Linked DNA regions of Ovis aries. The protein of the gene in region 2 interacts with the protein of the main gene of each other region in a biochemical or structural test. Links are inferred from orthologs where the notes say so. Each region holds a gene or a part of one and is shown on either strand. Other genes may lie near its edges. The genes, in order: NMU and NMUR1.

Region 1 (3,908 bases), on a different chromosome or scaffold from region 2:
CATTTTAATGTTCTTTGAATGGTAAACTGTTTCCAGCCACCAATTCTGTGGCTGGCCCTTTACCTTTTTATTGCCATTGCAGCTCTGCTAACACATTTTTGCTGAGGATGCTACACTTATTGACACAATTCCGGCCCCCCCCCGACCCCGCCCACCCCGACCCGGCTTTGTGGCATTTGCTTTGTTTTTTTGATACATCCACTTGCACCTTGCATAATGATTAACCTTGGTGGATTGTCTCCCGGCTTCGCTTCTGTATGTCAAGCTTCCCCTCCAGTGCTAATTGTCAGGGCTCAGGAATATAGCAGATCACCAGGGCAGATCAGATGAGAGTAAATGCACCCTCTTCCCTTCTCATCACATTTTTAGAGAGATAAAATTAATTTTTTAGTATTAACAGCAGGTCTGAAGGGGAAAGAAGACACAAAAGGGTAGTCTAGGGGGATTTCTGTGTAGGGAAAGAGGTATCTCATCCCTTAACTTGAGAAACAGTGGGGATATTTAAGAGATGATTGGTCAACCAGTAGATACCCTCTTTTGGAAACAACACCCAAAACTTGCTGTTTTTAGAAAATGGCTGCTGCTTCCTGTAGTTTCTGCCCAATCACCAGTAGCCTGAAAATTCCCCTGTATCTCCCTGCTAAAAGTTCTCTCTCACTGATGCAAAATTCACTGCAAGCATATAGTACTTAACATCATGGAAAGTATATTTGCTTCGCAGAGAAAAAATTAAACTGTGACCATCTGCTTTCTGAATAAGGTAGATAAAAGCGACCATCTTAATTTTACCAATAACAAATTTAAAACGGAAAAAGATGAACGTGACTTTGCAAAAGGCATGCTGTATCGCTGCTGAATATGCAATGGAGAAGGTTTAGGTCTCCTAGCTTCTACTGCTTACATTTCACAACCAAATTACCCTGCTTTTCAAGCCGAGGAGTCCCCACCTCTCTGAATCTCAAATGCCCCAAGGAAAGGGGGAAAACAATGAAAGGACAGCAATAAAAATAGCTCTATTAGGAAAAGAATGATGTGTCAGTTCCCCCACCTCTAAAAGGGGGCTGGGCTACAGGTTAGGGAAGGTTCCCACACTAATCGCTTCAAGTCCTAACATTACGGACAATGATGAAACGGCCCTCCCTTACAGGACTGAGAGGAGAGCAGAGGGAAACTAAGGGGACCCGTTGCGGATCTAGAAAATTCAAGATCTTAGTAGGGCTACCGCTGGCCCAGGAGGGCCCTAGCTCAAAGCTGGGAGATGAGGGATGGTCCCCTCAGGCTACTTGGAAAGGTAACCTTAAGGGAGCAGGGAAGTGATCTTTTCCACTGGAACAGGTTATATCTACCCTACCCCAAGTCCCAAGATTCGGACACCCCTTCCAGACCTTGCTTTTGCTTTCCCCCCATCTTCCCTCTAGGCCACGGCTTCACTGGTGGTTCAGATGGTAAAGAATTCTGCCTGCCAATGCAGGAGACCCAGGTTCAATCCCTGGGTCGGGAAGATACCCCGGAGGAGGAAACGGCAACCCACTCCAGTATTCTTGCCTGGAGAATCCCAAGGACAGAGGAGCCTGGCGGGCTACTCTCCGTGGGGTCTCAAAGAGTCGGACACGACCGAGCAACTAACACTTTCACTTCCTCTAAGTGAGGCACAGAAGTCCTTGTTACTATCGAAGCACAGAGCCCACGCTCTCCCTTTCCATTCTGCTAGAAAGGGGCTTGTTACTGCTCAGGCTTGCCTGAACAGTCCTGGAGCTCACTCACCAAGAAAGGTGAGCACTTTCCAAGTTGACCTCGCATCACACCCACTCTAGTTTTGCTTCACTGTCAATCCCTCCAGTAATTGCAATCAAAGGAAGAGCATTTTAATTTTCACTGTTTTAACTCCCGTTACCCATAAATCAAGCGGGCTGGACATCCCGAGTCTGAGGGGGCTGCCCGGCTTGCGAGATTCCCCCAGGCCCAGGTCCAGGCTCGAGCCGGGCCACAGACACGTGCGCCCTGGCTACCCTGAGGTGGCGACCCGTGCGCCGCGGCACGAAGGTGTGGCAAATCCCACCAGCCAAGAGTAAAGACGAGAAAAGGAGATAAGAGATCGAGGAACGGAGCGGGGAGAGGAGGCACTGGACTGGACGCGGCGCGGGTGTCCCAGGGGGCGCGGGGTCCTCTTACCTCCGCAGTCGTCCGCGCAACAAGACAGCAGTAGCAGCAGCAGGAGCGGGGACCCGGCGGCCACATGCCCCGCCGGCGGCTCGGGGCGACGGCTCGCGGCTCGCAGCATCCCGGGACCCTGCGCTGCACCTGCCGCGCGCTCCGAGCAGTGCTCCGGTTGAGCTTCCGCGTCCCCGGCGCGCTGTTCTCCCGGCTCCGCGTCCAGACAGACCGCCCCACGCGCTGCCAACTTTTAAATCTCGCGGACACGTGAGCTGAGGCGGCTAGGTCCCCGCGCGCGCGTCACCTCCCGCCCCCGGCCTTCCTCGCGTCACTCGCAACCCGCCCCACCCCGCACCCCATGCACGAGTTTCTGACTCAGGGTACCATGCATCTTTCACCCTCCTCGCCCTAGGGTCTCTGGAATGGAGGGTCATAGAATTAAAATGAAGCATGTCTATTCCCTTCTTTGGAAGCACTGAAGGGGAGCCGGAGGGGAATGCAAACCAGGCGGCCAGCAGAGGCTGGTATCCCGGCTTTTACACTTGGTGGTGGCGATGCTCTGCCAGAGACGACCCGTCTGCACCCTCCCCGGAAAGCCTTCTCTGCCCCACCCGACTGTGCGGCACCTCTTGTCCAGAGCTCCAGGAGCCACCTCGGTGCAAGCACTTCTGTTCTGTTGCCCTGTTCATCCCCAGCTCTTGGTACACGCCCAGGGAATCTTAGAGCAGTACTGGCTCATGGTGGATAGTTAGTGTTAGTCGCTCAGTCATGTCCGATCTTTGCGACCTCATGGACTGCAGCCCACCTGTCTCCTCTGTCCATGGAATTTTCCAGACAAGAATACCAGAGTGGGTTGCCATTTCCTTCTCCAGGGGATCTTCCCAACTCAGGGATCGAAACTGGGCCTCCTGCACTGCAGGCAGATTGTTTACCGACTGAGCCACCAGGGAAGGTGGTGCTGTGCTTAGTCGTTCAATCGCGACTCTTTACGACCCCATGGACTGTAGCTCGGCAGGCTCCTCTGCCCATGGGGATTCTCTAGGCAAGAATACTGGAGTGGGTTGCCATGCCCTCCTCCAAGGGATCTTGCCAACCCAAGGATAGAACCCAGGTCTCCCACATTGCCGGCAGATTCTTTACCCTCTAAGGCACCAGGGATGGTGTTCCCCAAATTCCTATCAGGTCTGAGATCTTTTAGGGGAAAGCAGTTGTCTGTTAAAGACAGTTAAAAAAAAAAAAAAAAAAAGGACTGCTGAGGCTTGACCACATAGACCTTTCTAAGTTCTGGAAGGTCTTGACTCTCCTGCGGAATTGCAAGCCTCAAGGTAACACCTTCCTTTCTGTGCATTTCTCCTGCTGTCACTTCCTAGCAGTTGCATTCTGATTTCCAGAGTGACCTGACTTCTATTATCCCTCTCTGCAGTTTCCTTCCTAGGGGGAAATATCCATGAAACAGACTTCTCCAGCGCACTAGCTGATGTGGCCTTAATTTCCTCTTCCAGAAACAAGGAAGAGGGATCTTATTTGACCTCCTTTTGAAAGGAACGCTGAGGGAAGGGTAGAAAAGGAAATACACTAACATTTCTTAAGGGACATCTTTATGTCAGGCACCTTCCCATGCTATGCATTTAATATTCATGGCATCTCGGGGATGTGAAAGTACTTTATTATGATTCTCACTTGATGAGCTTGGAGATATTAAACAATCCACCCAAGGATATCAGGCTTCCCTTGTGGCTCAACTGGTAAAGAAT
Region 2 (3,808 bases):
AGGTGACCACGGGACCAAAAGGCCAGGGTGGAGCAGAGTGTCCAAAGCTGTAGGAAAGACCAGGAGCAGATGCCAGGGTCGCAGAGGACTGTCCACGTGGGCTTCAGCATCACCCAGTATCACAGCAGGAGAGGAGGAGACGGGAAGCAGAGAGGGCCCAGCCTCTTGAACAAGGAGGGGGAGGAATGTGTATGACTGTAGCCAGGACAGGAGGTGACTCGAGCCCCAGAGGAGCCAGCACTCCTGTCCTGGGAGTAGCACTGGGCACTTGGCAATGCTGCCGCGCACCCCACCTCCCCTACCAGCCTGACCATGCAGAAGAGCAGAGCAAGCTGCAGAAGACCCTGCATCCAGGAGAGACTGGGATCTTGCCGGCTGGCCTTTCCACCTCCACTCATTTCTCAAGGGCTGAGCCCAGAGCGGCTGTTTCCACTTTCCATGGTAACCAGTGACTCATGACAAATGGGACCTACCCACTGACGTGTTATGGAGACACTCGAGAGACGTACACCGAATTTACACTAAGAGCCCAGGTCTTCTGATAACTCACCTCCCCTACGTTCCCCCATCTGCCCAGGGCTTCTCTGCCCATAGTTGGCCCTTCACAAATACTGACCAAAGCCTCAGGAGCACGTCAGCTCTGACCATCACTTAAGAGAGGCTCCAGGGAGTCCAGTTAGTCTGTGGGAACAATAGCAGGCTCCAGCCTGAAGTCTGGCGTCTGCCGCCTCCCCCAGCGCCACCCCAAGGCCTCCGGGGAGCTCATTTCAGAGACGACATTGGGTCCTCGTGGCTCTGCACAGCCCCTTTACACAAGCTCCCTTCTCAAATTTGCCCATCCTGTCTTATATATGGTGGTTACCTCTGGAGAGTAAAGCTACAGGTGACTTTTTTTTTTCTTTTCCTTTAGGCTTAATCCTTCCTTAAAAAAAAAAAAAAAAAAAAACTGTAGTAAAATACATATACAATTTACCGTCTTAACCATTTAAGTGTATAATTCAATATTATTCAAGTATATTCACATTGGTTTGCAACCAATCTCCAGAACTTTCAAACTGAAACCCTGTACCCATTAAACAACTATTTCCCCCTCCCTCTCATCCCCTAGCAAGGGTGGTTTTTAATTACTTTAAACTGCTTTCGTTTTCACTCATTTGTAATTTCCAATTTTCTAAAATGAGTATTGTTTTTACAATTGAATTTCAAAAACCCCAGAACATTTTGTACAGTCTCCTCCACTTTGCAGTCAGGGGGCCAGGGGCCTGAGCTGGGGAGAGTCTGCAGGGAGAGCCCCTGCAGCCCCTCGCCAGGGAGGCCAGGGTTCCTCCTGCTGCAGTTCCCCCTGGGGAGGAGAACGGGCTGGGCACTGTGGCAGGACAAGTTCTGGCCGTGAACTGAGTCCTGGCTGAGCACCCAGCGATCCACGGGGAGTCAGCATGAGCTTCATTTCAGGACTTAGCCCGTCTCTCTTCTCACCTCAGGGCTTTCCTAGTGGCTCGGCAGGAAAGAATCTGCCTGCAGTGCAGGAGATGCAGGAGACACCGGGTCGATCCCTGGGTCAGGAAGATCCCCTGGAGGAGGGCATGGCAACCCACTCCAGTATTCTTGCCTGGAGAATCCCATGGACAGAAGAGCCTGGTGGGCTACAGTCTGTGGGGTCTCCAACAGTCAGATACGACTGAGCACGCATGCACCCTCTTCTCACTTCACGGAGCCCCAAGCAGTCCTCACAGGGCACCCTTTGTCCTTGGGTGGCCCATGTCTCTTGTCCCCAGAGATTTTCTGGCCAGTCAGGCCCAATGCTCCGCTCATCTCAGGTCCCCAAGCCAGCACGTGAGGAGGTGAGAATGGAGGCAGGCAGGGGCCTCTGCTCACACACATGGTCCCTCAGTCGGTGCCAAGTCTCACTTTCTCTAGGACAATCAAAGAATGTTCTTTGGGTGGCTCTGGAGGAGGTGGGGTGGGGAGCTTGTAGGGGTCAGGGCAGGAGTAAAGGTTGAAGGTAGTGAGGATGTGAAGTGTAATTTCCACCTTGTTAATCTGAGGGTATCTGTTACCAACAGTGACTTCTGCACCCACACAGAAAACCAGCTGAAGTGCCAAAGTGCGATGCTCCAGAGTGTCAGGGTCTCTTTTGTTTTGCAAATAAGGGACCCAGGCATGTAAGGAGAGGCAATTTGCTTGATGCTGGGCAGCAGGGGCGGGGTGGGGGGGTGGGGGCGGTGGTGGTGGTGGTGTTTGCGCAGGAGGTGGCAGCACAGCTGAGATTGGAAGCAGGTCCCTTGGATCCCAGGCACACCTGCCACCTAGCGGCTCCACCAGGTGGAAATCCCAGAGCAGAATAAGTCAACTGGGGCTGGGGAGGGCTTGGGTCAGAGGAAGGGCACAAGTTCCCAAGTGCACCCAGAGCTAGAGGGGGCAAAGTGGACCAGAACCGGAAGCTCAGCAAGAAATGGAAAGGAGAGGAAGGACCGCCCCGGAAACACTTCAGAAACTGGGGGTGGGTGGGGGAACCCCCAGATGGAGTCTTCCCATGCCCAGTTAACCAGCCATGATGTTCCTACCAGGGCAGGGCTGTACCAGGAGGCCCAGGGGTCTGGAGAGCAGACAGCAACCTTATAATCGTTCCAATACATGGGTGGGGGCAGTAGTCAGGTGTCAGTCAGAGTTACTAGGCCGAAGTGGGGAAGAGGGACAGAGGATAGCCTGCAGAAGAGGCAGGTGTGGCCCCCTCAAAGCTGGGTGTGACCTTCTGGCCCCTTGGGGTGAAGCAGCATGAGGCTCCTCTCAGGAGGGGTGCGTCCCTTGCTGGCCCCCTGGGCCACTATTCTCGGCCAGAGGCTGGGCCTGGCTGCCCGGGGAGCCCATGTCACCCAGGGTGCTGCCCGTGGTCACCCTGCTGAGGCTGTAGGAGCTGTGGTGGGCTCTGCGGCTGCGGCACTGGGTCCCTGGGCACAGGGCCTCCCGGAAGGCGTCCCGGAAGCGGGTGGACATGAGACTGTAGAGCACAGGGTTGGCGGCCGAGCTGAGGTAGAAGAAGACTCCAGAGATGACGTGCACATACTGGAAGGCCAGGAGCAGGCCCTCGGTCCAGGGGGACACGCAGCTCCACATGAGTCGGTCAATGTGGAACGGGGCCCAGCAGATCCCAAACACCACGACCAGCACAACTGCGGGCAGAGAGGGCACCTGTTCTCACCTCCATGCTTCTCCCACAGGCCACCCATGCCCACGGTCCAGCTGGAAGCTTCTGGAAGTCTGCCCTGACCGCGCACCTTTAGGAGAGGCTGCTCTTGAGCCACTGCCACTGACTGACCAGTGGGCTGTGCCCTGGACCAGCCGTGGACACCCGAGCCAAGCCTGGCCTGGTCCGGTTCTCTCGCCGTGGAACTGGAACTGAGTGTGTGACACAGTGCGGCTAAGGACCCCTCTGGTGACACTCGGGAGCCCATGCGCGCTGATGCATAAGCAGGGAGAAGCAGGAGAATGGGGCCTGTGGTCAGAGGACAGTACAAACACACACACACACACACACACGATAAACACTGGCCCCCATACACACACACAGACAGACACACACACACAATGAACACCGGCCCCCATACACGCACACACAGATACACACATACATGATAAACACTGGCCCCCATACACACACACAGACACACAGACACACACACAATGAACACTGGTCCTCATACACAGACACGATGGAACACTGACCCACATACACACACACACACACGATGAACACCGCCCCCCCATACACACACACAATGAACACTGGTCCTCATACACAGACACGATG

Evidence for each region.
Region 1: the proteins of NMUR1 (region 2) and NMU form a complex in vitro, tested with the Homo sapiens proteins (2 studies listed by BioGRID). The link is inferred for Ovis aries from reciprocal best matches to the Homo sapiens genes NMUR1 and NMU.

Annotation. Positions count from the first base shown.
Region 1 is NC_056059.1:71,782,846-71,786,753, forward strand, and holds the start of NMU (neuromedin-U), read right to left. Parts: upstream 2,380-3,908; 5' UTR 2,282-2,379; coding exon 2,173-2,281; intron 1-2,172.
Region 2 is NC_056055.1:233,280,893-233,284,700, forward strand, and holds part of NMUR1 (neuromedin-U receptor 1), read right to left. Parts: intron 3,171-3,808; coding exon 2,788-3,170; 3' UTR 1,477-2,787; intron 923-1,476; 3' UTR 1-922. UniProt on the Homo sapiens protein: Receptor for the neuromedin-U and neuromedin-S neuropeptides.